Linked DNA regions of Oryzias latipes. The protein of the gene in region 2 interacts with the protein of the main gene of each other region in a biochemical or structural test. Links are inferred from orthologs where the notes say so. Each region holds a gene or a part of one and is shown on either strand. Other genes may lie near its edges. The genes, in order: beta-2 adrenergic receptor, Na(+)/H(+) exchange regulatory cofactor NHE-RF1 and pdgfrb.

Region 1 (10,540 bases), on a different chromosome or scaffold from region 2:
TGAAATAACATCTCAAAAGTGCAGTCTCAATATATTAATATTCAACCGTCGAAATTGTAGTAGTAGTCTGACTACTATGTGTAAGTTTATGTTCTTTTTATTCCTTAACATTAGACCACAAGTCTTTTTCTTAAATTCCACAGCTTACAAGTCTTTTTAATCTTTACTTTAAGGTGAATCAGAGTTGTACACAGCCAAAAACTGAATCTGAGGAAAGTAAAAAGCCTGAAAAACTGTCTTTATGTCTTGCAAGAATTTTTTTAAATTTGTTTTTGAACATTTCCTCCTACAACATATGTCTTAGTGACTATATTTTTTTATTAAAATGAGAACTTTTGGTAAGACACTTTTTATCACCCTATTGGCAAATATTTATGCTTATTTATAAAAACTCTGCTAATGGGGTAAGAATCTTTTACTTTTTTCTCAGAGACCTAGATTTGCAGAGTATTTTATTCCACACCTCTATTGTATTGTATTCTTTGTTTTTTTGTCAGAAAGTTCTCTTTTTGACAGAAAAAGGGGAACTATTTGACAGAAGTATGACATTATTAATTAATACAGAGGTGTAGTTAAAAAAAAGGACGAATGGAAACATTAGTTTTATCTTCCCCTTGTATCATTTAAATCACATACAGATGGTTTTCTCATATTTAAAGAATTTGAACTTCTCTCCATCTTCCTTTTAAAAGGACTACTCTGGGGAGATGACTGTACTGTACCACACGCTATAAGGGCAGCCATTAAAGACACATCAAAGGGACCATTACACACAACATGTACATAATTTATTTCAATAAAAATGTAACATACCACGCATACACTTGTTTTATTAATAAATACCACAGGGCACCACATTTCACAACAGGCTTCAAGACTTTAACAGTGACAACAACTTGTGCGAAAATAGCTTGCAAACATTTAGTAAACATTTCGGGGAGTGTTTCACTCCCACCATAAAAATGAAAGGTAACATGTGACAAGTTTGCTCTTTAATGTCTAATGATGAAATTTTGAACTTTATAGAAACATTGAAAAGATTTATATTGAAGCTTTGAGCAACATCCTGCCCTGAAATGAATTAAGTATGTTCTTTTTTTTTTTACTCATTTGTATGTTTTAGACCAGAAGGTTAATTAAACAAACCATTTTTTTTTAATTTTGTGAACTCAAAATGTTTTTCAGATTTTCTAAATCTCCTGAAAGTGCTATACAGTGCAAGTTTAGGTTCATTAAGATCATATTAACGTTTAATACGTCACCCAATTTGATACAGACACAAAACTATAAAATAACCTCTAAGACTCGCTTTTACTGTAACCCATAATTCTCCTTGGAGAGTACCTATTGTTTCAGAGTGCACAGAGCAGCATGTGCTCTGGAACAAGACATTGGAGAGAGAACTGAATGTGCACTGAAAGTCTGACATAAAACATCAGCTGTGCTTGGAATGGCAAAGTGCGTCAGCTCGATATTCAAAACGCACGTAGGTTTTCTTAAGCGCTGGAGAATGTGAAGGCTTACATTCTACAATTTACAGGGCTATTGATGAAACCTTTGTACGAACGTGTGGCGACTGAGGTGCAAAGAGAGTCTACTGCCAGGAGGGAGCAGTGTGGATGTGCAGTTCACAGCCAGATCACTTTGACAGAGAGGAGCATGCAGGTCCACCAACACAACACCAGACGTTAAAAGCAGACGTGCAAACACTTGCAGAGTGCTTGCAAAATTTACATTTTTTTATTTCAAACAAAAAGACTGGTGTGTTGGTAAATTAGTGCCTTTTTTTGTTTTGTTTTTTGAAGGAGATATGTACAAACTTGGTCTAATATCAGATTTGTGCTTTTGGCATGCTGTACAGTGGAAATGTTAAAATAAAAGTCTAAAAGAAACATTTCCTATGACATTCAACCTTGTACATTTACTTTGCTGTAAATCCGCAAAGAAGAAAAACAGAAAAAGATCAGCACACTGGAAAGCTTGTTTTTCACATGGCAAACATTGACGTATGATGACACTGTGTTTACGTCGACTCCTAAGGTCTGTGATAACAGCGCTCACCAAACCGTGCGATACAGTACATAAGAGGTTTCCTCTGGAGGAACAAAGTTCACAGCTTTGAAAGTGTCAGCAAATCTAACCCCGGTCAGAGGCGATGCTACATGCACAAAAATACAAGTCACTAACACAGATTTAGCCTGGCAGAGTCCCTGGTCCCCCTCCTGTCTTAGGAGCTACATTTAGTGTTCAGTCCCTTTGACAAGATCATACTTCTGCCAAACTCACTAAGGAAAGGTGCTGCAGCTACATCAACACTTTCCTTTACTCTTAATAGGCTTGCAATCGTGCCCTTTGTGCTAAGTGCTTATTGTCCACGATAGTCTTCCTTGAAGTTTTAAAGTGAATGACAAGAAAGAAAATCATTTTAGGTTGGTCCTCTGGATCCCTTTTATGATGATTCTTCAGCTAAACAGGAGATGTGTTTGTGTTTATTGGATCAGGGCTCAGCTGCCTTTTCTCCAGGCTGCACATTAAGGGGCATTTAAATAAGACTGACCAAAACTGACTGAAACGACTGAAGCCGAGGCACGTTTTTGCAGGCTCCCGTGTCTCTTGTCCAAATGGCACAATGATTACACACACAAGAAAAGAGATAGCCAGATAAAAACAATGAGTGTACTGAATACAAGCTTTGGATTTTTTCTTTTTTCTGTCTGGTTGCTGACTTCACCGTTATGGCTTGGTGCTAGAACTTTGTCATTTGGCTGCATTCACACCCTGTTTATGATTACGTGTTGTCTGTACCCTTGCACTATGAGGAAACAGCTTCTCTGGTTGCGGTAAACTGTGCACATACTGAAACATGGCAACTGCAAAATCTGATAAACAAACAAGGCTCATGCAGCTATGGGTCAACTATGGTTCAAATTTGTCGCACAGAAGAAAAAGAATCGTCGTTCTCACTGTTATTTGTAACAAAAAAGTGGTTTTAGATTTGCAACAAGTGGAAAATAGACATAGTTCAGGTATATGTAACAAGCCAAAAGAAATGTTTGAATTTATGAAAACGGTGAGCATTTCAGCCCAAGTTTTATATTATTGCACTTAGCGTTCCTCCCAAAAATTATAGGTATTTTACGGTTCGTTATCTGATAAAACAAGCTTTGATGTTTTATGATGGCATTAACCCAACAGCTACAGGCGTTCCTTAGGCTCAGCATTAGGATCTAGATTAGCCAGCCATATCTCTTGTGCTTTCTGCTGACAACATAAACTCCTTTAAACACAGTCTTGCACAGTAGAGCAGGACTGAGACGTGTTTTGCCTCACGCGTAGCCAATATAGCTCCCTGAAAAAAAGATTACAACTTAATAGATTCCTCAAGTGTTGTCGGAATGTAATTTTTGATGCAAAGACCAAGACTGGTTCAAAAATCCATTCTTTGCATTGGAAGAAAAATCGCATGGAAAATCTCAAATACAGTTTTATACCATACAAAAAACTGTGGCTTCCCTCCTCAAGAAAGAGCAAAAAATAAATAAAGCATGCCCTAAGGTTTTGGATGAAGCCTTATAATCTGCAAATGTACTATTCACACGCCATTTATTAGGCTCAACACACAGCTGAGACATCGCTCTCGTTTAACTCCAAAGGTAAGAATGTAAGCCGGTAAAGAAACTAACACTGTAAAGCCGTTAGGGAGGTAGATGTAGTCATCATGTAATAAAAAAAATACATTACAATATGTAGTCACTATGTTTAACTTAAAAAAAATGTTCCTCAGCTTGATGTGATCGTTGCAGGTTCTCTGAAACACTTTTGAAACACTGCCAGCCACTTTGACTGGCCTTACCTTAATCAGCGATTGAGAGAAAAGCCCTAAATGTTCATAAGTGTATAGGCTTTCATCTTTCTCTGTTGACTGAAGGGTCGGTGGTCCGTGCTTAAAGGGCAGTTGTGACAGTCGTTATACCTTTGTTGCAGTTTCCATTGGGGTCTATGGCTCTGTCCACACCACTGCCCACCCCTGCACCTTTTATCAGACAAGCCTCATTGGCATCACTGTCCTCCGAGTTGCACTTGCTCCTCCCTTGCTGCTCACTCTGCCAGCTGTGCCTGCTGTAGATGTATCCATTTGTTTGGCCTTGGTGGCTCAGATGGTTCCTCCTGATGCACAGGAGTTCCTTGAAAGCGTACCTGAACTCAGGACTCCGGCAGTAAATGACAGGGTTGAACATAGAGTTTGAATAGCCTATCCAGTTCAGAATCATAAATACGCTATAGTTGTTCACGTTCCATATGGACGCGATTACATTAAGGATGAAGAATGGTAGCCAGCAAAGAGTAAAGGTCCCCATTATGATACCCAAAGTTTTCAGGGCTTTGTGTTCACGCAAGTAAAACTTTGCCTTCTTTTGTCCACGGCCATTCTTGTCCTCCGAAGAATCTACATGAAAGCGTCCAACGCTTTGGTTAATCTTTTTTAGCTGCCTTTTGGCCGCCAGGAAAACACGGCTGTAGACAAAAACCATGATGATCAAAGGGATGTAGAAGGAGATGATGGAGGAGGTGATTCCATATTGTATGTTTGTGTGAAACTGGCAGCAGTCTGTTTTATTAAGACATTTCTCAGCTTCCGATGTATTGGATCTCCACACGTTCATATGAATGGGCGGGTAGGATGTCAAAGCAGCAATCACCCATATAAAGATGACCACAATTCGAGCTCTGCACTTTGTCAATAGTGACTGGTAGCGGAAGGGTGCAGTAATGGCCACGTAACGGTCAATAGCGATGACACAAAGGGTCCCGATGCTTGCAGTCACGCAGAGGACATCTGTGGCAGTCCAGAAGTCGCACCAGAATTTACCAAAGTGCCATTTAACGAAGATGATGTTTAAAGCACCAAAGGGAACCACAATGAGACCCATGACCAGGTCTGCACACGCCAGAGATGTGACGAAGCAGTTGGTGACAGTTTGGAGACGCTGAAAGCGAGCGATTGCTGTTATGACCAGGATGTTTCCAAAGACAATGCACAGCACCAGAAAAGACATTCCGATGCCCATCAGGATCATAGCCGTCTCACTGTGGCCTGTCTCGTTGAGGCCCATCTCGTTGTGGCCCGTCTCGTTGTTGGACAATGACGTAGTGCTCACATTCGAGTAGACTGGAGAGACTGTAACTCCCATCTGAAGAAATCACATGCAGAAAATCATCAGACACAGTAAAAAGAGGGGAAGTGCACAATTCAAACATGTATCTAACTTATGGGAACTAAATAAATGCAGCAATAATAAAGTTTAAAACATGAATGTTTGTATCTGAAACAAAAAAACAAGCAAAGCAACAAAAGATTAAAAAAAACACAGCAGAGGCACCAGCCATAACGACCTTTTTGGCTCCATGCTTTAAAAACAAGTTGAGTCAAGAAAGAGCAAAAATACCAACCTCGACAGGTCGTTGTTTTGCTCCCAGCCTCCCATAAAAATGTCAGAATGTCAGTGTTGAAATACTTCCTGTAAGACTGGCAAGGCTCACATGCCCCTGTACTTTTTGTTCGGGTTGAGCTCCAGTTGTCTCTCTACCAAGTCGTTCCGTTGAGCAGTGTTTCCTCTGATGTGTCTCAGAGTCCTTATAGCATGCAATGGTGACATCACAGTCAGAGCTCAGCCAATCAGCGCACTAGCCTGTGGAGGGTGCTGAGCGCTCACAGGAGTTTGAACACACTGTCCCAACAGCTGCTGCTGCAGGGCTGCATGAGACATACGGCAGCCAACACAGGCAAACATTTACATATTTAAAAAACCTGCAAATTTGTACTGAAATCTACGAGCTGTATTTCAGCTCGAGTCATAAAGTCTACTTCCTGTTATGCTATGTTCCTGTATGAGTTTACAGCTTCATGCTTGTGAATCTGTATCCAATTAAAACTAGTTAAAGCATTTTTTGAGCATTTGTAAGATCAGGCTGGATTCACAAGTGATCCAACTGGCAAGTGTAGCTCAGTGAATTTTGTCAAGATCTATTGAGTGGTTGGATTGGAGCTTTAACACACTTCTTGTCCTGACAAAACCTTTGAGTTTTGTAGGCTGCTCTTTTATATAAAAATCAGGACCTTCGCCAATACAAGAACATATGCTTACATTTTAACATCCAAAGGTCAAACTGTAAAAATGACCTCAGTGTTTTGGTACGTAAAAGGCGCAGTGATCTTCACAGCAAGAGCTAAAAGAAAGCCTTTGAGGATCAAGAACAAATTTGCACTTTTATGACCACATTTATTCCATACATGTGATCTATGCAAACTAAACCTCATTTATTCAAATTTCAACAATGCAATGATAGTTCTGCTTGGTTTGTGAATGCGTAAAAACACTTCACGGAAAGTCTTCAATGCTTATTGAATTCTTTTAAGTTAATATATCTCTTTTTAAAAATGATTCTGTAATAAAATGATCCAATACCCTCAATCCTAACCCTTTAACCTAATCTTTTGTGACACTTTTGTACTTCAGCCTTTTTTTAAAGTATTTTTTCTCGAAGGTGTATTAAATGTGCAAGTATCAATAAACGTGCACATTTTATTTATCCTTTTAGGTTACAGGTCTTAAAAGGTTTACAAACTACAGAAAAAGAAAACAACAAAGATTTTTGCAAATGTTTGAGACTGTTGTAATGTGTTTTTTACCGCTGATTTTTTGCTTAAAGATCACAAAGATTTTTGCTCAATTGCGCAAAATCTTGAATTGCATAATTTTCTTCTACGCACATTAGATAGATTAGAGCGTACGTGGTTTGGAAAAAATCCAAAGACAGTTCCACTCCTGAGATTAAATAGAGGATGCTTGACGTTTTTTGGATTATATACCTGCATTAACACCAACCATAGAAACCAAAACCTGGTGTTTCGTGGTGGATTTTCAAGGCATGACAAGATTAAAGATAAGAGATGCCATATGTCTGAGCCCTCATTTAGAAGAAATCCTTCATGGGAATACACTTTGACATTTATCAAGGTGTTTCATCTTTTTACAGTCACAAGGTGAACAATGAGATGACGTAAATGTGTGACCTAAATTACCATTGGCAAAGTGACCATTCTTATGGCATGGTCATCTTGCCTGTTTGTTAGTATATAGAAGAAATAAAGGAGCACTGTTATTTATTGGGTCAGGCTGAAATTCAGGCCATGTTCAGGATGCAAAACAAATCCACATTTGCACATCTCTTTCAACAAAATAAAAAAAATGTAGATCATTTGGTATTTTCAAAACTGCTTTTCTTTAAAGATTTGGTAAAAAAGGGCAACCTGCAGTTTTTTTGTTGATGTCATCATGAAATGAGTTATAACCATTGACTGTAAAAGAAAACTGCACCGGGCCAGTGTGACGTCATTCCTAGTAAATGGCTTACTTCGGCTCCAACCAAATGAAGTCACCATTTTTTTGCAAAACGAGACAACGTCAATAAGCAGCAATGGGTCCAAGTATGTCTGAATCATTGTTTCTATGGCAACCACTCTCATCAATCAGGACTAAACTTGCTGGAAGTCCAAAAGTAAACTTTGGGAGAATCTGTCAAACATTTTTAAATGTTCAATGTGGGGGCCAGAAGGCACTGCATACATTAATTGAAGCATCTGATTGGACAGTTTTTAACATGTACAACTTGCAATAAAGAAAAGGTTTCATGAAAAAAAAAACGGATTTGCAAAAATGTGTAAAAAAAAAGTTTTCAAAGAAAAATGATTATTTTGTCATATATAATAACTGTATGAAATCTGTTCATTTTGCAATAAAAGTCTGGAATTCTGGCTTCTTGAAACCAGTGGGTAATTCCTGTTTGGAAACTGAGGAGGGAGGAGTCTGATTTGAGCAGAGACCAGCTAGGGCAACATAAAGCAGAGGGATGAGAGCTGACTTGCTGTTCTCCATGTTGGCCACATGTTCAAAGGACTAAATAACTAAGCAGGTTTTCTTCCAATTGGACAATAGTTAGCAGCCTTATTTACATGGACTAAGTAAAGTGAGAGCTACTCTCCATCCACTGGAACAAAGGATAACCATTTAAAACTAATACAGCAATAGTATAGCTGCTCAAAAGTAGACGCTGCCTCAATGTAGTTGCCCTCAGATCTAACAAATATAAAATTCTTGCTAGCTGTGCAAACATTTTTAATTGATTAACTATAGCAACATTAATCTTTTATTGGCAAAGGCACCTTTTTTAATTTCCTAAAATTGCAGTCTTGCTTTAAACTAAGAGTTTAGATCATATGGGGAGGAGGATTATGGAGGAAGTAAGCATCTGAAAAGATCATAGATGACGCATGGTAAGGCCCCCTGGTCTTGCCTGCATGTTTTGAGTGTGTATGTGTCCATGGGCTTGAGTTTTATCTCCTGCAGGGGTCCAGCCAGCTTCTGCACAGCTGCTGACTCCACCCTCCTGCAGAGCTTATTGAGGCTGCCATTCTTCACCAATCGCCTGGCTGGGAGGGAAGCTTTAAAAGCTCCCAATAACCCCCTGCTCCAGTGGCAGCTGAAATCATGAGAGGATTTTTTTCTTCAGCCTGCCCCTGTTGTCTGCTTGGCCTTAGCCAGTGAAAGCCTCTGATTACCCTCTTAGTTTTATTCTGGCTTTGTCCTTTTGTCAAATTTAACCTAGTGGTCTTTGATTGCATTTTGAGTTTTGGAGACTGCATTTCTGTAAACGTTTACTTGCTTTACAGCCTAAAAGTTTAAGTCATTTCATCGCTTATTACGTCTTTGGTGTTTTGTTTGTTAGTTTCTTTGGTTTTTATGATGTGTCACCCGAATAAACGGCTGTGTGGCCAACTTTAACCTTGCACGTTTATTATTTTTTTCTTTATGGTACCTATTTTCTCCCTCCTTCCTGAAGAGGGACGTAACAAGCATGAAAAAAAGACTAACAAGTTTAAAAGTTTAGTCACCAACACTAGGCACCAACTACATTCATTCAAGACTCAAACGTTAACAGACAAACATACCGTTTTTTTTTGGGAGTCTCCTGTTAGGAAACGAGTCTAGCAGCATTTTTTTTTTAAGTAGTGTAATGACTAGTCTAGACTTTTCCACAGTAAGAAGAAAGCTTGATGTAGCTATTTCTCTGAAATCAAAGTAGTAGGTTTAGGGGCTGTCATCTGGACTTAGCCAAGTCCAGATGACAGCCCCTAAACCTACTACTATGATGGAATCAACCTGGATGAATGAGAGTCTTCATAGACAGTTCTCTGACGTGTCATCATAATAGAGCAAAAGCATTTTTTTTATTTCTTTATTTGCAACTGAGCTTGCAGACAAGCTTAGTTTCTGAAGGGAGATCGTTGCTGATCTCAAATGGCAAATAGATGGTGGTTTTCAGAGTGCCTTCAGTGCATGCAGAGACACCAGAAGCCGAGGGCCTCATCCATGTGCTCAACAATAAGCCCTCACAGAGCTCCTTATGACTGATGACGCATGAGAAATTGCTGTCGCTATATTTGAGTGCTCAAATCTCAATGCCGACCATTCACAAGAAAGTTACAAATGTTATTTAATGATTTAATTTGAAATAAAATCGCTCAAATTGCGATACACCGCCTCATGTTATCCTTTCTAATTCTGTTGCTTGCAGCCTTGCAGGTTTCCGCTCCCGACTAAGAAAATTCAGCGTTTGTGCGCATGTTGTTCTGCTGCACACCTCATTAGCAGCACAGGCGCACCATAGAAGAATCTTTTCCATTTAAACCCCACATGAGATGAAAATTCAGATACTGTCCTGACAGAACGCCGAGCATTTTGGTTTTCTAGGCCGATTCTGCTCACTTGAATTTTAGTGACCCACATAGCTTTTATCTACACCACGACACACATGTCAAACCCATCATGTGGAGCTTCACCACAGATAAGACTTGTGTTATCTGTGCTTTTAGACAACTTTCAGAGCTTGGTTTTCCATCCTGCAGTAGTATTGTGAAGATAGTAGAAAAATGCACTTTTTAAACACAGGAAACTGTATTTATAATATTTGTACAGGAGTCAAAAATGTCTGAAGATCTCAGCTTCAGAGAATAAAGCTTTATTGCACTAAATTTGATTATATTTGGTTTATAAATGCAATAAGCAAATGTAATTATCAACGAAAAGTAACATCTGTTCATCGTTTTGCTTTGGAAAGTGTGAATCTGCATGTTTTAAAAATCGCAACTGACTTCCTCAGAATGTGACATCTGTTTTCCTGTATCCTGTCACTCCCAAGCAGGGGCAGTTCACATGTGGTTAACCTTTTAACTGCCCCAGATGCAGGCTGCACACCTCCACATTGCTGAAATAAGTTCATCCCACTTTTCCCCGGGTCCTCTTGTGCCTGAAATGCTGCAATGTTGATCTAGTGAGGTAACACACTCCAACACTTCCTATCATTTCTGTCTTCAGGGTGACGGGCCTCCTGTGGGAAATAGAAAAATTTCAGGATGACACTGAGACAAGAAACGTCATGAAGAAAAAAATTAAACCAAAGGAGGTCATACCAGAATGAT
Region 2 (10,440 bases):
TTCCCTCACTCGCAATCGCAGTGACCTTTAGTGTCAGATTCAAAGAAAGTGTGTTTGAGGTTTAGACGCTTAGCTCCATTCAAATCATGTTGAGCAATAGCCTCAGATTCTTTTATGTAATTCTTTTGTAATCCAGCCGATCCACTTGAACGTTTTGCAGACTGGAGAATTTCCAGGATTGACTGACGCGGAAAGCTGCTGGAAATTCTCCAAACCAGCTTTTGCTTGTCGGGACATGAATTCCAAGAGCTGGAGTGTTTTCCCTGCAGGAGCTGTGTGGATCGAAATTCCCCTGTGATGTCTGACCAAGTGCTTCTGCTGTTTGCTGTTGGCTCATCCGTGCTCCAGTTCCTGACCGTTTACCTCGTCTCTGCTCCTGCTCCTACACCTGGCTGTGGTTCCTGTCTCCGGCTCGACTCGCGCCTTTGACTGTCCCGATAACCACATCTGGATGAAGCTCGTCTGCTGGACTTTTATATATGTAGTTGTAGATTTAGATAAGTTAATTCTTCTCTAAGATTTCTGGTAAATCGCCTGTCCGTCCTGGGGGAGGATCCCTCCTTCATGTGGACACCCCTGAGGGTTCTTCGTTTTTTCCGGAATCCAGTTTTTTTGGGAGTTTTTCCTTACAGAGAAGGGGGGTCTAAGGGCAGGGATGCCAGTATAGCTTAGTCAGTTTGTTAGTTCATTTTAGTATTTTCCTATTGAACTCTTTGTATTTGTGATCCTTTTAAGTTCATGTTTTACTTCGAAGCCCATCGAGACGACTGTTGTTGTGATTTTGGGCTATACAAATAAAATTGAATTGAATTGAATTTGCTTTCAGCAACACTTTGTCCGGTGAAAAGACGCGGCCGGTTAAAGACCGTCAGGTCTGACTGATCCCTGTCATGTGTGCCTGTGTGCAGGACGAGCCGGACGGACTGCGGCCCCGCCTCTGCCACATGAAGAAGGGCCAGAGCGGCTACGGCTTCAACCTGCACAGCGAGAAGTCCAGGCCGGGCCAGTTCATCCGGGCCGTGGATGACCACTCCCCCGCACAGCGAGCCGGCCTCCGGCCGCTGGATAAGATCATCCAGGTTAGCAGAGCGCCTCACAGGCTGCGGTCAGCCGTGCACACAAAGCGGTGCAGGGAGTTCAGATGTCCCGGGTTGAGTGGGAGCTGCTGCTCCTGACTGTGTTCCCACCTCCTCCCATGGAATTCCTCAGGATCTTATCTCCTCTGATGCTTGATTCGTTCTTGCTTGGTAATCCCTCCCAGATTGAGGGGCAGGAACGGACCTCTGCTGCGATGGGAAATGAATCGCTGAACTTCAGTTCTTCTGCAGTTTTTTTTCAGGAGCTTCTCGCCACATCAGAGCGTTCTGGTCAGTAGAGGATAAGTCGGTGTCCAGCCAAGGAATCGTCTCCTTTTCCTGTTACTCCATGCATTCATGTTGTCATAAACTGGACAATGTGGGCGAGTCTCCATCAAGTCTGTTCAATGCAAAGAATTTACAACTTTTGAGACTAAATCAGTAATTTTCTCACCAGCTCTTGATCAGAATAAAGGCATGGTTTTAAAAGCAGTGGGTGGGGGTGGGGGGTATTTTTTCAGGATTCTGAATTCAGAGCTTGCTTCTATTTTGTAAATGCCACGTAACTGCTCTAACTTGTGATGGTTCTACGTTGACCTGTGCGTCACATTTGAACGCTGAAGCAGATGGAACATCGTTCTCAAACTTTAAGAATTAATTCATGAGAAAATATTCATGAAAATGTTCCAGAAATGATGATCAGCATCATCTCCTTTTACAGCACGAATGATGGACGGCTGTTTTTGAAGCTGAGTTCATGTGAAAACGTGCCGTCGTTCTATACTTTATACTTTCTACAAAGCAGGTGGCGTCTCCATGACGGCTCGTCTTTCCTTTGGGTCGCTAATTCAGACGCATTAATCCAGAAACCCAGAACGCTGCGTTCAGGAGCCGTCGTGCATACCGGGTGTGTTCAAAGTCTGGTGTCCTGTGCAGATTTTTGGGGTTTTCTTTGAGCCTCGTGTATCCAGAGAGCAGAGACTTGACCACCTGCCAGGTTCAAACGCATGGACCTCAGGACAATAAACCCGTTCGTTCATGTCAGTCATCCATTGGTCAATTTGAATCTAGGGAAACCTCAAACCACCACTTTATCAAACTTTCTAAAACTCATCTATGGTCAATAATGAAAAGAGCAGCTTTGTGCTTGAAACTGTGAAGCTGAATCTACTGCACAGCTAAACAAGGAGGAAGCGTCCATGAAACCCTCTAAGTTCTGCAACACACTGATGGAAAAACGTCAAGATGTCTGATTTCTGAACGTCTGCTTCAGTTTTCAGTCTCAAGTTCATGTCCAGAGTCTCCAGGATAAAGTTGTTTTTCCTAAAACTGTCGTTATCTGACATGAGATGACAGTCCGGCACCTCTGACTATCGCTGTAGTTTGTGTGGACATCCTACAGGCGTCCGATGGGCACGTGCGTGTCACGTGCGTGTCACGTGCACACCCCGTGCGTGCAGCATTTGTGCACGCTCAGCAAGGAGCCAGTGCTGATGGCTGGAGCATCAGGGCTCCGTGCGACAGCCTCATCCGTCTGTCATAAGTGCGTGCAACTTACATTATCCTCACCATATATATTTACCACACGCACGACAATGGTACGTTCCATCTTCAGGTGGCCGTACGAGCCTCATGGGAACTGCAAGACACACCTGCGCTCCCTTCAAGATGTAGCGGCTCCTCTCTGTGACCCTGAACAGACCCGAACAACCCAAAAAGAGAACGGCAGCAGGCCTGCATGGGTGTGTGACTGAGGCCTAAAGCAGAGAGATGGAATTATTATTATTGTTGTTTTAGGAAACAAAGCCTGATTATTGCAAAAGTCTCCTCTCTGATTCCATCTGCATCCTATGAATTACTGATTGGGGTCGCGGCCTCAGGACCCCCCCCCCCCCCACGCCCTGGTTCAAAGTTCAGGTGAAGGAACAAGCCCGTGTCAGCCCGTGTGCACGTTTGTGCGGTGCTCTCATGACTCAGCTGTGTTAAAACATGTCACACGTTATCAGCACAGCAGCCTCCTCTTGCTGGAAAAATTACTGGATCATTTTCTGATAATGGTTCCTTTTTTAGGGTTTGTTCATTCATCTGCTCTTAATCATTTATGGTGAGCGGGTTAAACATTACGGGGAGCTGTCCCAGGCGTGACACCGTGGTGCTGTCGCAGCACTGCCGCTGTGATGAAGGTGGTAATCTGGTTCCACCGGAGTTTACAGGTTTACTACTGGATCTGTGGGGCTTAAGGGAAAACCTCTTTTATTGGGACTTGCTGCAGATCCTGAGTTGTTGGTTTGAACTTCCAAACAGGGTTCAAGTGAGGAGAATCCAAACCTGTGCAGCGGTTTAACTCCCACTTCTCCGCCTGCTGTGTTTCTGTGCAATGACTGAATGATTATATATTTTTTTTGGTTCAAACTCTTCTAAAATGGTAGAAAAGAATGATTTCTTTAGATAAAACAGCTTTTTCAGATTCCCCTAGTCCTCTTTTATTTGACAGAGTTTAACCGCTGCTCCGTCTGCAGGTGAACGGCGTGCCGGTGGCGGGGATGCAGCACTCCGAGGTGGTGGCCGCCATCAAAGCCGGAGGAGACGAGACCCGGCTGCTGGTGGTCGACGCGGAAACAGAAGAGTTCTTCAAGAAGTGCAACGTCACGCCCACCGAGGAGCACGTCACGGGTGAGCAGAAGATCTGAGAAAAGACCTCGGCGACGGGGAGACTCGACTCAAGCCGCCATGTTTCCTCTTCTCCTGCAGGAGCGCTTCCGGAAGCAGAGTCCAGGAGAGAATCAGAGGAGGAGGTGAATACACGCACGCACACACGCACACACAAATGCGCACTTGTGCCTAAAGCGCGTGAATGAACAAAAACGTGTGCAAACGCACACACACACCAACACACACACAGGCATAAAAACACTTGTGCAAAAATACGTTCATAAACAAATACGTGAAAAACTCATGTCCACATGCACAAACACACACAAGTACACACATGCACAAACACAGGCATGAACAAACGCCCTTAAATACATGCTCCTGCAAAAACATGCATGCACAAAGAGACGTGAACAGAGAAGCAGGATGCTGATTGTTTGAACTATAACTTTACTAAGCCAAACTAAACTGACGTTTAGCTGCTTTAAATCTGCTTTTTGACTTTGAATCTGTTGCTGCATTCATTAGCAGTTTTGCAGCTTTCAGAAAAGATGAGTTTGTCAAGCCCTGCAGAAGGGGGAGGGGCTTAGACGGGAGGCTGGAGTCATTAGGAAAAACTGATCTGATTGCAAAAATGAGACTTTAATACGACTTTTACCACCGTGTCATCTCAGTTTGTAGCAAACACAAAAGCATTGCATGCTTTGAGTGCTGCCCTCTAGTGCCAACAGAGCGCCAAAGCAAGTGCCTGTTTGCTGAACGCTTTAAGCTCTCTCGGGCTGTCTGGACATGAGACATGTTGGAAACGTGATGTCCACAGATGAATGTTCACCTCAGCTGCATTTTGAAGGCAGTTCTTGGATCTCCTCCTTTCACTGAAAGACGTCTCCTCCTGCACCAAATGTGAGCAATGCTCCTCTGAAGGGGAACCTGCACAAAGGCTGAGGGGCAAACAAGCAGCCAGTGAACTGTCAGCTGACCCCTCACCATAGAAACCCCCACACACACACACACACACACACACACACACACACACACACACACACACACACACACACACACACACACACACACACACACACACACACACACACACACACACACACACACACACTCTTTCAGAGCAGTGTGTCCTGGAGGATGATGCGATTGCTGCAGCTTTGATTCAGGGATTATGTTAATGAGCTGCTAATGAAGGCCGTTCTCATACTTTCACATGCAGGCGGGGTCACTGAACCACAGTGGCAGAGCGGCCCCCACTCCTGCGGGGGTTTCATGATTGTCTTTGTTTGACTGTCCCAGTGGACCTTCAGCGGAGCAGCTTGTCCATGAGGACAGCACAGGTCTGTGGGGGCCTCCGGGGTCAGACTAGAGTCCACGCTGCTTTGAGGGGGCTGATTAGAGCAGGATCTGCTGCCCCCTGCTGGACTTCACCAGCATTCCCAACGTTCTTAGTCAAATGGGGGCTCGGTCACCGCTGTGGGAACTTCAGGAAACTCCAGGGAGCTCCAGTTTTAGGGACTGCGATCCTTCCACCAATAAAACCTATTTAAGGTTGTTTTTGACCAAAACATCTTCTTCAGAGTTCTCCTAAAACTCCTTTAACCCTTGTGCTGTCTTGTAGGGTCAAGATGACCCCACTCCCAGCGTTAACATGCCTCCACATTAACATTGGGAGTTGGGTCATCTAGACCCACTAGACAGTGCTCTGAACCTTTTTTCTTCAATGATTTGTGAACCTCACTGGTGTCCATGGATTACATGAAATCTTTCCACCTTTATCCACCTTTGTCATGGTAGGGAGAACACCTCAATGGAAGGGGGGGGGTCATCTGGACCCCACAAGACGGGCCAAAAGTGCATATTTTAACCCTATATAACCATTCTTTTTGTATTTGCTCCACACACATTTTCCTTTACAATGATGATATTGTTTTTAAAAGTTTCTGGTCATTTAGATTCTACCATTTATATGATTGATAGATTTTCCTAATTGATTCAAAAGGAAATTCTATCGTTCTGCAGGTCAGAGCATCACCAACACAACTACACAAAATAAAAAGGACAACACTTTAACTCCTGCCTTTTTAATCTGTAGAAACATTTAATTTCAACTAAAAACATGTTTTCTTCAATACTATTTCAATACTTTATTCATGTATTTTATTGGAAAATAGTTCAAGGTCAGTCTAATCATATTCTTGATCATATTTGTAAAGTCAGACTCTCCAGTTTTTACTTCGCTCTGTCGTCAAAAAGCCACATGTGAGTCTCCCCCAGCTGCAGGAGCCTTTAGACCAGGGGGGGGGTCCAACTCATTTTCACTGGGGGCCACATCAGCATAGCGGCTGTCCTCAAAGGGCCAGATATAACTTATACATGTAACTAAATGTAATGCATCTACTCCATAATGTTAAATAACTCATTATTTATTTACTATAACTTTTTAAAGTGACAATTCCAGTTGCATAGAAACATGTTTGCTTGTTACTTTAGCATAAATCCTTTTACATTTTGTCCCCTTTTTAAAACCCACATAACTGCATAAATAAAGGTTTCAAACTGTCTAAGTGAATAAAGAATATTAACATAAAACTGAGCTAGAAAGAACAAGTATTACATTTAACAAAAAAAGGTGTCTGCAGACACACATAAGACCTGCAAACATTGAATAATCACAACAGCAGCTACACATAAATAATATGTAATCAACTAAAGAAAAAAATCATTTCAATAAATTAAAAACTTTTTTTGCTCTTGTTGGCCACATAAAATAACATGGCGGGCCACCTGTGGCCCCCGGGCCTTGAGTTTGACTCATGTGCTTTAGATCTTCATGCAGACGGGACTCTGACGGTCGTCACTGCGTTCCTCCTCTGTGCGTGACGCGACGCACCTCAGACAAACGGCTGCAGCTGGTTTTAGAGTCGCAGACGTGCGAGTGCGACACGCGCTGCACTCCAGACTGATGCAGAAAATTCCACGAGCTCATGCTCGGCACAGCTCGTCTAGCCGGTTTGGTGTCAGCGGAGCAGAAATCCTGTCAAGGACACACAGTTATTGGTCCTTCTCTGGTAATGACAGGAAACTCAGGCATACTCACCGAAATAATCCTAACCCTTCTGCTGTCTTGTGGGGTCTAGATGACCCCACTCCCAATGTTAACGTGCCTCCTAGGGAGTTGGGTCATCTAGACCCACTAGACAGTGCTCTGAACCTTTTCTCTTCAATGATTTGTGATCTTCACTGGTGTCCATGGATTACATGAAATCTTTCCACCTTTATCCACCTTTGTCATGGTAGGGAAAACACGTCACTGGAAGGGGGGGGGGGTCATCTGGACCCCACAAGACAGCACAAGAGTGCCTATTTTAACCCTATATAACCATTCTTTTTTATTTGCTCCACACATTTTTGAGTCCCGTGTCTCATTGGCACGGCCCAAACTTGTTTTTAGCCGTGCAGTTCATCATCGGTCCACCAGAGGCAGTAGAAGGTCTTTTCCTGCTCATTTCAAAATGTCTGCTTCCATGAAATTAAAAACAAAAACACTTGTTTTTAGCTAAAGTTTAGCTAATGTTTTGTTAGGTTGATTTATTGTTATTCTTTTTTAAACTGACTGCTTGCTGTTTTATAAGAATGAAATGGATTATTAGAGCCAACATAAGAGAAGATGGAAAAACAAAGCAAATGAAAATGAAGTTGTACAGTTTTAAGAAAAAAAATCAACAATTTACAATTGATACTAAAAATTAAATAAAACAAATAGTTACATTGAGCTTTTGTTTGAATAATTATTACAGGTTTCATTTAAGCTGCAGAGAATTCCAAAAAACTGGATGACATCACACCTCGCTGAATCTGTTTTTTTGTAAATGTACAACTTTCATTTTGGAAAAAGCAAAACTTTTTACTTTCAAAATTCTGACATTGACGATTTTATCCTCGAAAAATTTGGACTTCTTTAAAATATCAGTGGGACTTTATTTTCAGTTTTTGACAGCTTTTTGTGATTGCAAAATTGAATTCTTTATAATCCAGTTACAGCATGTTAAAAATGTCTTCACTAAATGTGAGACGGTGGGTAAATAAGCTGCTCTTTATCCAAACACGCGTGTCAATATTTTTGCAAACTTAAACTAACATTACTGTGGGTAGAATTATCCAACGTATCATAACATCTTTAATTGCACTTTTTTTTGGTGGGGTTTTTTAATTAACCCTTGTGCTATTTTAGATGACCCCCCCCTTCCATTGACGTGTTCTCCCTACCATGACAAAGGTGGATAAAGGTGGAAAGTAGAGCTGCGACGGTGTCGAATTTTTCATCACCGCGGTGATAAACCACCAGGGGGCGCGGTGTCGCGGTTAACCGCAGCCCCCATCCCCCCCCCCCCCCCCCCGCCAAAAAAAAAACCCCACACAACATCCCCCGGCGGCCGCATCGGAAATAAATACAATTACAACGTACTAGTCTTTATCAACAAACAACAGCAACAACTAACAACTACATATCTAACTGGTGAACTAACTATAGGAGTTGTAGATTGACTGTGTGTGTGAGCGCGGAGCGTCTTGTGTAGGTATAGGAGGAAGGTGCGCGCACGTGTGTTGGGGGTGTGTGTTGATTCTTCTGCAGCGGACCGCTCTGGAGCTGCACGGGGGTTTCACCTGTGCTCTCTGGTACAGACATCTTCTCAAAATATGCTATATTGCCCAGTAATTAGCAGACTGCAGACACTTTGTCACCTCTCCAGTAGCCGTGAAGCCTGACATCCATGAAGAACGCGGGGCAGGAGGCTCCGCCTTTGTTCATACAGACACGTAACGTTACGCTGCAAAAAATAGTTCCCAAACAAAACATGTAGTGATAATCATGGAAATCTAACAGTGCGCGTTCATGTTTGGTGTTACGGAGTGAAGGAGGACAGTAACCCCCCCCCCCAACACGAAATCCTCCGGTGGGCGGCCGCGTCGTGCACTTAAGAACGCACGCAGCTTGTAACGGAAATGAATATAATGGAAATTAATAATTAGAAAGCAGTAAATATGTTGTATTTCCTTGCGAGACGGAAACTTCTATTGTAGAATAAGGATGTGTGCTTCTGAAAGCGCGCGCCTGTTTGTGTAACTGTAACCGCAAAGGGAGCCGCGTGCCACGTGCAGCGCAGTCAGACAGTGAGAGCACGCGCGCGGTGGGAGAAAAGGAGACAACAGTCTGAAAGAAAGAAGGAAAGTCTGAACACAGGACTAGCAGAAAAAGGAAATTATCAGCAAAGATGAACGTGTTTAATGTGTTTATTATAGTTCCAAACACGCACCATATGCAAAATGTAAAAAAAAAGATGCGGTGATGAGGTCATCGTCACAGCACGAGTGGAAAGATTTCATGTAATCCATGGACACCAGTGAAGATCACAAATCATTGAAGAAAAAAGGTTCAGAGCACTGTCTAGTGGGTCTAGATGACCCCACTCCCAACGTTAAAGTGCCTAGGATAGCACAGGGGTTGCGGGGTTGAGCCGGAAGACGTTTCCACATCCCAATTCATGTTTGTGTTTTCCAGGCAGCAGCAGAGCTGAAGCCCAAAGAGTCTGTCAGCTCCAGAGCGTCCAGCGTCTCCTCCAGCAGCTCGCTGCAGCAAGCGGCGCCCAGCTCGCCGCCCGCAGAGGTGCCCGAGTCTGAGGAAGATCGGTGCCTCCTCGCGGCCCCCACCTGACCACGTCTGTGTTTTTACAGGTGGAGGAATCCCCGCGGGCCGAGCCGGCCCCCGCCGCAGACGGCCTGGGTCTGGGCGTGTCGCTGGCCGAGGCCAAAGAGAGAGCTCACAAGAAGAGGGCGGCCAAGAAGGCGCCGGCCATGGACTGGAGCAAGAGGAACGAACTCTTCAGCAACCTATAGGCTGATCTGCGTCTCTGCGCCGCGCTCCAGTGGAGACCTGAGAGAGGATGGTTGTCCGTCGGTGTGAATCTCAGACTGACAGCTCCTTTTAAACTGCCACGTTGAACAGTATTAGAAATGATTTTGTTTTAATTTAGGGATTTGACACTTTCTGCCTGTAATGTTTCAATGACTTAAATGATATTGCAGCAATGAATGTGTCAGTAAGAGCAGAGTAACACAGAGCCCTGAGGAAGAGGAGGAGCCACGACTGCATCAGGAAGATTGATTTGTTTTAACTATTAAGCTGAAATCCTCTGTTCAGAAAAACTGCTGTGAAAGTCTTAATCCTCAATTCAAAGAAATGTCTGTTTTAATTGTACATACATGAATGAAGGCCTGTTGATTCTGCTTGTTGCTTTTGTTTTGACAGCGCCACCTACTGGTGACTGTCCTTAAAGCTCTTTACGTTTTTGGATCTTAGTGAGATGTGGGTTCTCTACCAGGTCAGTTATCTAAGGCAGGTCTCAAGGCTCCAACACTTCTAGTGCCTCATTTCAAAATAAAAGTACAAAGGATCCTATGAAAACTCATTTCAGAATATTGAATCTCAGTTTTGTATGAATCTAACTGGAAAAACGTTAAACAGATCTTTCCAGGACTCCTGTAAAACCTTTTCAATGCGTTAAAGACAGCACATCTGGAAAGATCACAGCATCAGTTTCCTGTAAAAATCTGCAATTCAGGACTCAATGGTGTTCAGCTGAAGCTTCATTTACAGAAAATTATGCCTAAAACTAAGCTTTAGTAAATGGATTAACTTATTTTTGTA
Region 3 (10,440 bases), on a different chromosome or scaffold from region 2:
CTTTTGCTTATCTGTGTCATTTCTGCCGTTGACCAAAGCAAAGTGAGGCTTGAAGCTTATTTCCAGCCAACGATAAAGGCAGACATTATTAATGAGGACATGAATTAAATGTCATCTGGTTAGAGAGGAAAACAGTGAGACAACTTTAAACTTTTGGTTTTTTTGTTGTTGTCACCAATGGCACCAAAACGACCCAGAAAACAACACTTTAATTGTGACTGATTCTGTTTGTTCACCTCTGAGGAACAACAAGCAAAGGCCTGGGCACACAGCTGTAGAATGAAGCTTTAACCAATTCTTTTTACTCCACTTGTAGTTCATCTTTTGAGAAGCGTAGTCTGATGATGCACTGACCTTACAGCTAACTTTTGAGGTTAGCTTGAAGTGAACATGGAATTTTATTTTGAAGGTGAATATTCTGTAGTTTGCCATTAAAGACCCATTTTTATTAACTTTTGATCTTTTGTAAAAGCGTTCCCAGTGGTCTTTTCATTATGATTATGTTGTTTTTGACCAAAATAAAAAAATCTGTGTCATTTTCTACACATCTGTGTCATTTTCTGCAGAGCACAACAGTTCCTTCGAAGTTGTAGACAGGACTGTTGGCACAAAGCAACCCCAACCCCCCTTCCCCTCAACATGGCGAAGCAGGGAGCTTGTGGCCCGCCAAGTGTATTTTCAACATCACAAATAAGCTTTTTTACCAACTGCGTATTTGCGTCTGCTCCGGCTTCATGATTTAACTACAGAAATACCTCAGAAATGTAATTTTAAGCTTAATTTTCTTTATTTGTGACCGCCATCATGAGAAAAAAAGCCACAAGAACGTGTTAAAACATCAAAAACAGATTTTAAACAGAGTGGGACTTTAAAGACTTCCTGTCTGTTCATTTTTTTTCATGTACATTCAGGTTGACCTGAACCTGTATTTTGTACAACAACAAGAGTGGAGCTGTTTCTGATGTAGAAGACCTCTTAAATGGACTCTTTCATTGTTTATACTGAATAACTGCACTCAGGCTGGATAAAAAAATAATTTAACTAGTAGATAAAAGGTTTTGACAAAGACTAAAGAAACCTACATTTTGTCATAAATCCAACTTCCTCCCAATATCCACACCTGTCTTATTCTGACTTACCCAGAACCAGGTTGTCTCTGCGCATTTCCCAGGCCAGGTCATAGGGCAGGTGGATGGGATCCACATAGATGTACTCGTGGCCATCCTGACTCACAGATTCAATGACTTTCCATCTGATTTCATAGCGAGGTTTCTGAGGAACATCAAGGAAAAGAATATCATCAAGTTCAATGTTTTTTCTAGTATTGTCTTTAAATTCACTTTTATTTCCACAAAGGTGTTTTCTTACCTTCCTCCATACAGCAATGAGGATGATGATGGACATAATAATGATGACCACTAATGCCAAAACAGCAGCTAATACAGTCACCTGGGAGAAGAGTGCTGCAAAGGACATGGACATGGCATTTTAGGAGAAAACAATAAACCAATATGATTCAAACTCTGCAGACATGAGGCTAAACATTTGTTTTAATACTACTTTACTGAGTTAAAGAAAATAGTAGTAAATAAATGTTTGTGATAGTACACGGTAGTTTGTACCAAATTCTACAAACAATAACTTAATATTAGCATGTCTTCTATTTAACATCAAATGACGCAATAAATTATTTAGCTTTTTTTTTGTAAAGACAACTACAGAATAACATTTTATGGACAACATTTTAACAATAACAGACTATCAAAATTGCGTTGAGGTCTCACTGTAATGAAAAATACACCATTCTGAGTGGTTGTCAGAACACCTACTGCTAGACACCAGTTTGATGTCTCTCCGGTCGGTGAGTCCGGCTTGGTTGGTGGTCTCACAGCGAACTGTGACCTGCTGGGGCTTGAGGAAGGTCACTTGGCTGCGCACTCGACTCAGTTTTCGTGCCTGGCTGTAGCTCACATTGGTCTGGATGCTCAGCTCCTCTGAATGTGGGACCAGCGGCTGCCATGCTGATGTTTGGTTACTACACCTGCAGCAGAACACTGGATCAGCACTCAAATCACAACATCTGCAGCAGAGGAGAGCAAAGCTAAAGCTGATGCTCTGAATGTTGAATAAATGTGTGTGTTTAGTCAGCCCTCTAGTGTTGACACTGCAGCATCTCAGGAAGGAGGGGTGGCACTCACTTCAGCATGCTGTCACAGCTGTACCACTGTATGGTCGGAGTTGGGACCCCCTCTGCGGTGCAGGTCACCAAGTGTCTGTTCGCTGGCAGGTGGTGATCAGACAGATCTTTAATCTGAGAGGGAACTAAGACACACCAAGAAAAGTAGAATTAGATAAGCATTGCAGTAGTCAATAAAGGATAGTGAAGTAGACTAGACCCAGGAAATACATTTATACAAATTGTTTTTGCCAACTTTAAATCAGTTCATTTGTAAAGTGACAATTATCAATGGCGGCCTAAAGGGGCCAAATTACAATATATAAAAAAAGGGAAAAGAAAATATCTTGAGTTATCTTTGCTTGTTATAGTCCTAACATGTTTGAATCAGCCCAAATCAGACAAAATTGTTACAACTGGACTTTAGTTTTTATGTTTTAATCTAATATTTCACAACTGAAAAAATTACTAAAAAAAAAAAAAACAAGACAGATGGTTTTTGGACAAGTCTACCTACCATGTACTTCCAGGTCAAAGGCCACTTCCTTTGAGTCATCCCCATTTCTAATGAGGACAGTGTAGAGTCCTTTCTGCTCCATCCTCACCCTCACCAACGTGAGAATGGTGACGTACCTGATGCACAAGAGAATGAAACAGAATCTTAATTATTTTTACCTCCTTCTGATTACATGTAATTGAGCAACAAACATCTTAATAACATGAATTCTCTTTTTCTTAATCTTGTGTTGAAAATCTTGTCTTTTTAACTTTAAAAAAGTCAAATGAAGTTCTGATGGTGTAAATATGTGGTTAATAATTGAAAAGAATGCCAGATCTGTTACTCTGACAAAATCCAATAAGGTTCACTATGATGTTGGGCCATTTACTTGCTGTTTTGAATCTGTCTACTGAGGCCTGTGTTTGATGTTTCAGTTAGATCATTAGTTTTTTAACCTTTATTTTAAAAGTCTTTTCTTGTTTGGCATTTGTCTAGAAGTCCTTTGAGAGTTGTGACAGGCGTTTTGTGTTTATGGTTCATGTGCGTTGAAAGATGGAGTCCGGCCCTATGGAGGGAATTGTGTTTCTCTCTGTGGAGGCTTTGCATGGTGCTGACTGACATAAGCTGCACGCATCTACTGACTGAAAGACTCACAGGTCCTGTGCTAATTGCTTAAACAGAAACAACTCAAAGTGTTGGTCTGTGGATTTGTGGTGAATTTTTGAAACAGCTGATCATTCAAGCTGGACGATCTACCTGATCTCATTCACTTGTCTAATGGTGATGCTTTTGTCTCCTTTGATGGTGGCGCCATCTTTGGCCCACAGAATCTGAGGAGGCGGGTAGGCAGTGATTTCCACTCGCAGTTCGACATTCTCCTGTACTTTGGTGGAAATGTTTTTTGACTGAGCTGGCTTCACATCCACAAAACCTTTTTCTGGTAAGAGAAAAAAAATCTCATCAGCAACACAGCATATTTAGTGCAATCACACGTTAAAACTCACAATAAGAGTATGCATGAGACTTTCTTTGGCTTCTTAGGAGACAATGAATCCACTCTACTCGACCTGAAGTAACAAAAATATATTCATTTAAATTCTTTTGTCTGACCGAATTATGCATATTAAAGGAACTAGCAAAACATTTAGGCCCAGTTGTTTTAACCAGACAAATATTTGAGTTTGGTCTAATGTTTCTGAAGGCGTATATTTTTGAAACTTCATAAACAGACAGAGAAACTACAACATGTTTTGAAATAGTTCAATAAAGTTCATAACGTCTGTATCGATAACTAACATCTTAGGTTCTTCTTTTATCAGACACGGTTGTGTTTTTTTCACAAACCTCTAAGATGTCATATTTGGAAATAATTCAACAGCTTGGCAAATTTAGGGGACCTTCACACATCAATTTGCCATACATTTCTATTTGCTTTCATTTGTCAAACCAAAACTTGCAAGTCAAACAAAAAGTTTTCATCCTGGACAATTTTTATTGTTTGAAAAGTATTTTTGTGGCACTTTTTGTCCAGACAGCTTCCCCACTAAAAACGATTCTCTTCTGCTGTTGATATTGAACCTGCCAGGTTGGGTTAAAGGTTTCCTAAACATGACACACCTAACTGCAGACAGAGTAAGCATTCATGGTCCCAGTGAGGGTCAAGAGCCAGACCATGGAAGAGAAAAGCTCAAGCACAAGCAATTCTGCTTTTATTGGCTCCAAACGGGCTGTTTTTAAAATCGCTGACTTGCTGTGCGATTGTGTTTGAAGTTGAATCTCTTTTACACAAACACTCTTTCACTTGGGGGGGAAATAAATATATAGCTGCTGAGTTAAAGCTCTGTTTTTCAAAGTATCACCGTGTCGAAGGTTTATCCCACACTTTCTACGAAAATAAAGAACCTGACTTTAAGTTCCTTTAAATAGCTGTTCTCCCACCTCAACCTGCTATGGCTGATATAATAAACTGTCTCCTCTCAGCCACCATAATAATGTGCACATCATTGGTTTGTTTTAGTAGTGTGTGTGTCCTAACCAAAGACTGTGATGTCGATGCTGGCGCTGGCCTCCTGGTCTTGAACGAGTTCGTGAGCATGGCATACATAGGTTCCACTGTGCGCCACCGTGGTGCCAGGGAACATCAGGTAGGAGCGCATGGTTATGGATGACAGAAATTCAGTCAGGGGATCAACTTCCTCGAGCTAAAAGAGAAAAAAAAATCCATGTTTGCGCAGAGAATTGGCCTTATTAGATGGCAAATCTTTATGGAGTCATATCTTCATTTAGGAGTACCCCAAAAATCTAACAGAAGGCAGGTAACTTCTACTTTTCACCTAGCCTGAAGCATGATAATAGCAGGATCAATCTGCAAAATTTAGAAGACACTTGTACCTCTCTAATGAACACAATCACAAACAGATGTGGATGGCGCTAAAAATGTCTCAAAAAGTCAAACTGGAACTGAGCTGTGAGCTCAGTTTCACAAGACAATTGAATCTGGGGCGCGTCTCCACATCTTGATATAATTCTGGCTCAGCCATGAAGAATCACCAGGGGAGAAGCTGAACAAAACATGCTTGTTCTGCACCACTCCTACTCACCTCACCGCTGGGAGTATCCCAGGAAAAATTCACCAGTTCAACCCCGTGCACGGTGCAGTTTACAGTCAGAGGCTCTCCCTGCTTCAGGACCGTCTTTGAAGCGTTGACATAGGTTTCAAAGGTCTCTTGGACTGAGGAAAGTGCATTCAGTTATTCAGCTATGATAAGCCTTAAAAATAATGAACTACTTAGATTCCATGTCTGTGTAGGAGCTCAGGTGACCTTTACACTTACCAAAAATGCTGAAGACATGGAAGTCTTGAGAGTCTTTCACCTTGCCGTTCAGCTTGCCACGACAGAAATATGTCCTTGCCTCCAGGGGTGCTTTGAACCCCTCAGTGGGAACATACAGCCCGTTGATGGGCGAGTGAGAGCTTTTCTCATGCAGCGTGACGCTGATGTTTGGGTTGGTGACCATGCATGGGATGATGGTTTCCTCACTTTTGGGTACCATGCCGTGGTCACTCCTCACAAACCACACCTCAGGGTCTGAAGCATAAACACAAGCATGTTTATTAAATGTCCTACAACATGTTAATAGTGACTCAAAATCAGTTCATTCAAAGTTAAACAAGCCAAGCCCCACCTGCAACAAACACAGCCACCTCCTTGGTTTCCTTAGTGTGCCGATTAATGCACTGATACACCCCAGTGTGCTGCCAGCTCACTTTTAGCAGGGTGAGAACACTGGAGAACACGCCGCTATTTACACTCTGATAGCTTTGATGACTTTCTTGATCTTTCTCAACCTGAAAGTAGGGTACGTCGTCCTTCTTATACTCCCAGGTTGTCTCCATTAAGCCGGAGCACGTGAGCGTTAGCTCAGAGCCTTTAGCCAGGACGATCTCTTTTTCATCAGGTGTGACCTCCAGACAGCGCGCTCCAGAGCAGAAATACAGCCAGGCTGCAGTTTGCACAACAAAAGATGAAGAGGTCAAGGAGATGACAGCAGGAGGTCAGAGGTTAAATCAACAATGTGAGTCGAATCTTCTTCCATCTTAGAGCACGAGTTGTCTGCAGCAGATGAGTGGGAGGATAAGGATGCAGTGTTGCTGATGGATGTGTTCAGAATGACATAGGTCAGTTTGAAGTTGGTCCTTACTTCAAAGAAGTGCCCAATCTTCAAGTTAACAAAAAAAATATGATTTTGTTTCAGAAGGGTTTAAATTATTTCTTCTACTCTAAATAAAATGTTAATTCAAATTTTTTAGTTCTACAAACCTTTTAGTTGAAGGTTTGCACATTTAATGAAAACATAAATTGTGAGCAATTGTATGGTCCAGATTATAATACAAATAGGTTATACATGTGTCAGAGGTCAGAGCTCTGTCTCCCCCTCTGGTCACCGGCGGGAACCGTCTCCAGGGTTCTAATGTACTTCATCTCCCAGCAACACCACTACACAGTTTCTGGATGCCACACAGCTGACTTTTTCTTTTGCAAATCACTCACAGTATTCTTAAGCACTGTACTGAGCCTCATTCAGTGCGAAGTATTGTTGTCTTCATCACTGAGGGTTGTTTCCATATCTGACCCTGATTTAGCTTTGTGGACTTTTAGCTGAGCTAATAAAGCTGCTGCAATTGACAGCAGGTTTATTAGCTCAGCCATCTACCTGTTTTGTGACATGTGAACATACACATGAATTAAAGATTGCCTCACAAACGCCACACAAAAAGAGTCGATGTTAATGTTTATCTCACCTGTAAATATAACTGTCAGCTGGCGTGTGGTCAGCCGCCTCATAGTGAACGCCTTTGAACCCATGTGTCCTGTAAAAAAGGACAAAACCCAGTGTTTCCTTTTTAATTTACCCAACAAACACCAATTGCAAAATCTGAAACATACTTTATAAATTCCATCCATCTATTTTCTGAATCCCATCCGGGGTCACTGGGACCCAACCCAGCTGCTTTACAATAATTAATATTTTATTATTTAAAAAAAAAACCTTGTCAGATTTTGTATTGCACGTATGTTAAAACCAAAGCAACATGTTTGTAATCAAAAGGCGTGAAAGAAAATGACACTCTGCTGATGGAAATACCACCATAAAATCAGAACTGAAGCTGTTCTTTTCATGGCTCTTGGCTGGCAGACAGAATCAGAGGTGCAGTTCACTGTGAAGGTGTTTGACGCTTCACTGCACCAGCACAGAGCAACAATGTCTGTCTCTTTTTGTTTCTGGTTCGCCAACACTCTGCCCACAAACAAACGGGTCACTGTGTGCAGCTTTGCAGTGCGCTCACTGCTAACAATGCTGCGTCCAAGCTATTCTAGAGTCTTGCTGAGCCATTAATTGGTTTCGTGGTAAACAAAAGTGAAAATCGGGACATTCACCTAATCCTCTGCCAGCAAGAGTGCTTTTGCAACTCTGAATTGTTTCTTTTTAATACCTTTAGGATAACTTTTTCTCTGACGTCAAAGCCGCAACAGAGTTTGGCATCAATAGAGGTTAAAGTTGAGCAAAAATCCCCATTGTCTCATCAATACTTCAAACCTTTATGCTGCAGATTTGCTGGAAAAGCCAAAAAAAAAAAAGGCAAACAAGGGGAGTGGTGGTGGTGGGGTTGTTGTTATGTTTTAGATGGGGTTAAGGCCTTCAGCGCACAGACGTCTGGAAACAGTTAAGGATGGATCACAGGCCTGAACGCAAGAGGGTGGGAAATAAAAAGAGGGCGGAAGAGCATGTCTTGGGAAGCGCGAGGGTGGAGGAGGAAGAGAGGGAGTGAGTAGTGGAAAAATTGTGAAACGTGTTGAGAAATTTCACCTAGAATTTTTTGGGGGGAGATTGTATGTCAGTTTAACTGCCTCTATTTTGGGACATTTCGCTATTTTGAGGCGTTTTGTAAACATGTTCTGAAGTTTTGTTTCCCCCTTTCTGTGACAATAAATCTCTTCAAACTTTCTCCATCTGTTATAAATATCTGCTTGCAGATCTGATAAGATGAGTTTGGAAATTTTTCTAATGAACCCAAATCTTTATGTTGTTACACTAACTTAGCAGCCTTTGGTACTTCCGCTCCCACAACGAAAGCTCAAAGCTCTCAAGCTGCTCCAAAAACATGACTGGCTCATTTCCTTTTTTGACTCCTGGTTTCAATAAAGAGGTGAAGACACAGATAGATGGAGAACAAGAAAGTAAGCAGGAAAAGTTAACTCACACACACGTGCACTTAAATGCAAAGTGTGTAGAGACACATGTTACATTTACAGCCCTCGCTTCTTCAAACACACAAAAAGAAACAGAACGACCTCCTTTCCCCCCTTTCTGTCACTGGTGACTGTGTACAGTTCACGTTCCCACAGTTTTCCTCTGAAACTTTCCCAGGACCACGGATACACTTGGGAAACTGCTGGTGACGGAGGCAGAAGCGGTGGGGTTACTCCATCCCTGGGGGCCTGAGCAGCAAACGACAAGGGCCCGTCGACTCAGGAAGACATACATCAGCACACAGCTGAATCCGGTAAGAGTCAGCGATGAAGACTTGGAGCATCAGACGAAGTGACACCAAAGCATGTGTCGTCTTTCAGCTTGAAAGCCGACAAATCATGTTTTTACTGGCTGCTCTGAAAACAGGCCAAAGTGCGGCGGTAAGGGCTACTGCAGGATGTGTATCTAAGATTAGACAGCCTCAAACAGTAAAAAAAAAGCATATCATGGATGGGGGGAAAAATATTTTGTTACTGAAATATGATAAGGGTTCATGTTGACCAAGGAGGAGTAAGGGACTATGAATAGATTTCTTCTAAAAGGGCAATCTTGCACTAAAATTGTGCATGTTTTTAAAGTCAAACTCCAGTCATTGTTTGATCTATTCTAAAAGTGTCCCCAGTGGTATTTTAATTTTGATTATGTCATTTTCGGCCAAAATTGAAAAAAAATCTGTGTTGTTTACTAGGACATAGCTTCTGTGGAGCAGCAGGAGTTCATCAGCAATTCACCTCTGAAGTTGTACGCCCACCCCATTTCCCGTCATCCATCTGTTTTCAAGCTCTCCCCTTATCTTACAACCCCTGACAACCCAAATCTAACATTACTGGTGCTACAAAAATGGGGAGCAATATTGGAACTATCCAGCTGTAAAGATTTTAGCCAGATACCAGCTCAGACGTGGAAAATTAAGATATGCATGGATTTGGTTTTCTACAAGTAGCTTCTACGTCACCGCTGCTAGCTTTTTCCAAAAGACAAAAGTCTGCACCTAATTCACAAGAATTTGAATAAAGAAATAAGCAGAAATGGAAATTTGAGATTCATTTTCTTTATTTATGTCCTCCATCATGAAGAAAATGCTACAAGAATATGTTTAAAACTCCAAAAACTCTATTTTCTTTGGAGTGGATCTTTGGGCACAGAACAAAATTGTATAAGTTTCTAAACCAAATAGAAACCTTTACAAAAAAAAACCACTGAAACAACTATCTAAAATAGCCCTTTTCAATAAAAAAAGACTAAAATATTTGGTTAACTAGTAAAAATGATTTGGGACCCCTGTCAGATTTACTGTAAAAACCCATCCCACAGTTTGTATAAATGAAGTGACTCACCTCACAATTGCAAAGAGCCTTAACAAATCTCAAAAGCATTTCTCCAACCAAGATGTTTATTGTTTTCTTTTCTGTCTCTGAAACAGGGACCTGCATTGCCCCTGTAATCTCAGAGGTCTGAGAGAAACAAACAGCGTTTATGTCAGTGATGGCACAGTAATCGCACTGCCGGATAAACTGTTATCACTCCGCATGAGGTTTCCCGTAGATGCTGGGAATCTGGTGGCTGACTGACCCTTCCCGCTCTCCGTAAACATCCCTGCTACGCTCAAAGTGTCACCCGCTAATGAGGAAGAATGCTAAAGTCGACCTCGGCGGGGTGCACGCGGCCCACACTCTGCCTCAGGATGCAGCTCGAGTGTGTAATCCCACTCCTGGGATTATCTGCATATAGTCTGTCTGTTTTACCAACATCTGGCAGTGATAAAGCAGAACTCGATAAAGTGGGAACTGATTTATGAGTCACATTTCAAACTAATTGTTTTCTTGAGTGTACCGGGGCAAAGAGAAAAGAGAGAAGGAGTGGGAGGAGAAAAGAAATCTATTATAGAAAGAGAAAAGTCTCCAAGTGCAGCTGGAGAGGATTCACTTCCTGCATGGGGGAATTTTCTGGC

Evidence for each region.
Region 1: the proteins of Na(+)/H(+) exchange regulatory cofactor NHE-RF1 (region 2) and beta-2 adrenergic receptor form a complex in vitro, tested with the Homo sapiens proteins (3 studies listed by BioGRID and IntAct, with this or other methods). The link is inferred for Oryzias latipes from reciprocal best matches to the Homo sapiens genes NHERF1 and ADRB2.
Region 3: the proteins of Na(+)/H(+) exchange regulatory cofactor NHE-RF1 (region 2) and pdgfrb form a complex in vitro, tested with the Homo sapiens proteins (2 studies listed by BioGRID and IntAct, with this or other methods). The link is inferred for Oryzias latipes from reciprocal best matches to the Homo sapiens genes NHERF1 and PDGFRB.

Annotation. Positions count from the first base shown.
Region 1 is NC_019868.2:20,749,871-20,760,410, reverse strand, and holds beta-2 adrenergic receptor, read right to left. Parts: upstream 5,625-10,540; 5' UTR 5,452-5,624; intron 5,193-5,451; coding exon 3,945-5,192; 3' UTR 767-3,944; downstream 1-766. UniProt on the Homo sapiens protein: Beta-adrenergic receptors mediate the catecholamine-induced activation of adenylate cyclase through the action of G proteins. The beta-2-adrenergic receptor binds epinephrine with an approximately 30-fold greater affinity than it does norepinephrine.
Region 2 is NC_019877.2:24,304,798-24,315,237, reverse strand, and holds the end of Na(+)/H(+) exchange regulatory cofactor NHE-RF1, read left to right. Parts: intron 1-908; coding exon 909-1,079; intron 1,080-3,595; coding exon 3,596-3,749; intron 3,750-3,827; coding exon 3,828-3,871; intron 3,872-9,294; coding exon 9,295-9,399; intron 9,400-9,467; coding exon 9,468-9,629; 3' UTR 9,630-10,201; downstream 10,202-10,440. UniProt on the Homo sapiens protein: Scaffold protein that connects plasma membrane proteins with members of the ezrin/moesin/radixin family and thereby helps to link them to the actin cytoskeleton and to regulate their surface expression. Necessary for recycling of internalized ADRB2.
Region 3 is NC_019868.2:16,264,929-16,275,368, reverse strand, and holds part of pdgfrb (platelet-derived growth factor receptor beta), read right to left. Parts: intron 7,048-10,440; 5' UTR 7,043-7,047; coding exon 6,979-7,042; intron 6,180-6,978; coding exon 5,862-6,179; intron 5,765-5,861; coding exon 5,510-5,764; intron 5,407-5,509; coding exon 5,276-5,406; intron 4,877-5,275; coding exon 4,711-4,876; intron 3,613-4,710; coding exon 3,432-3,612; intron 2,810-3,431; coding exon 2,694-2,809; intron 2,323-2,693; coding exon 2,199-2,322; intron 2,042-2,198; coding exon 1,830-2,041; intron 1,464-1,829; coding exon 1,369-1,463; intron 1,273-1,368; coding exon 1,140-1,272; intron 1-1,139. UniProt on the Homo sapiens protein: Tyrosine-protein kinase that acts as a cell-surface receptor for homodimeric PDGFB and PDGFD and for heterodimers formed by PDGFA and PDGFB, and plays an essential role in the regulation of embryonic development, cell proliferation, survival, differentiation, chemotaxis and migration.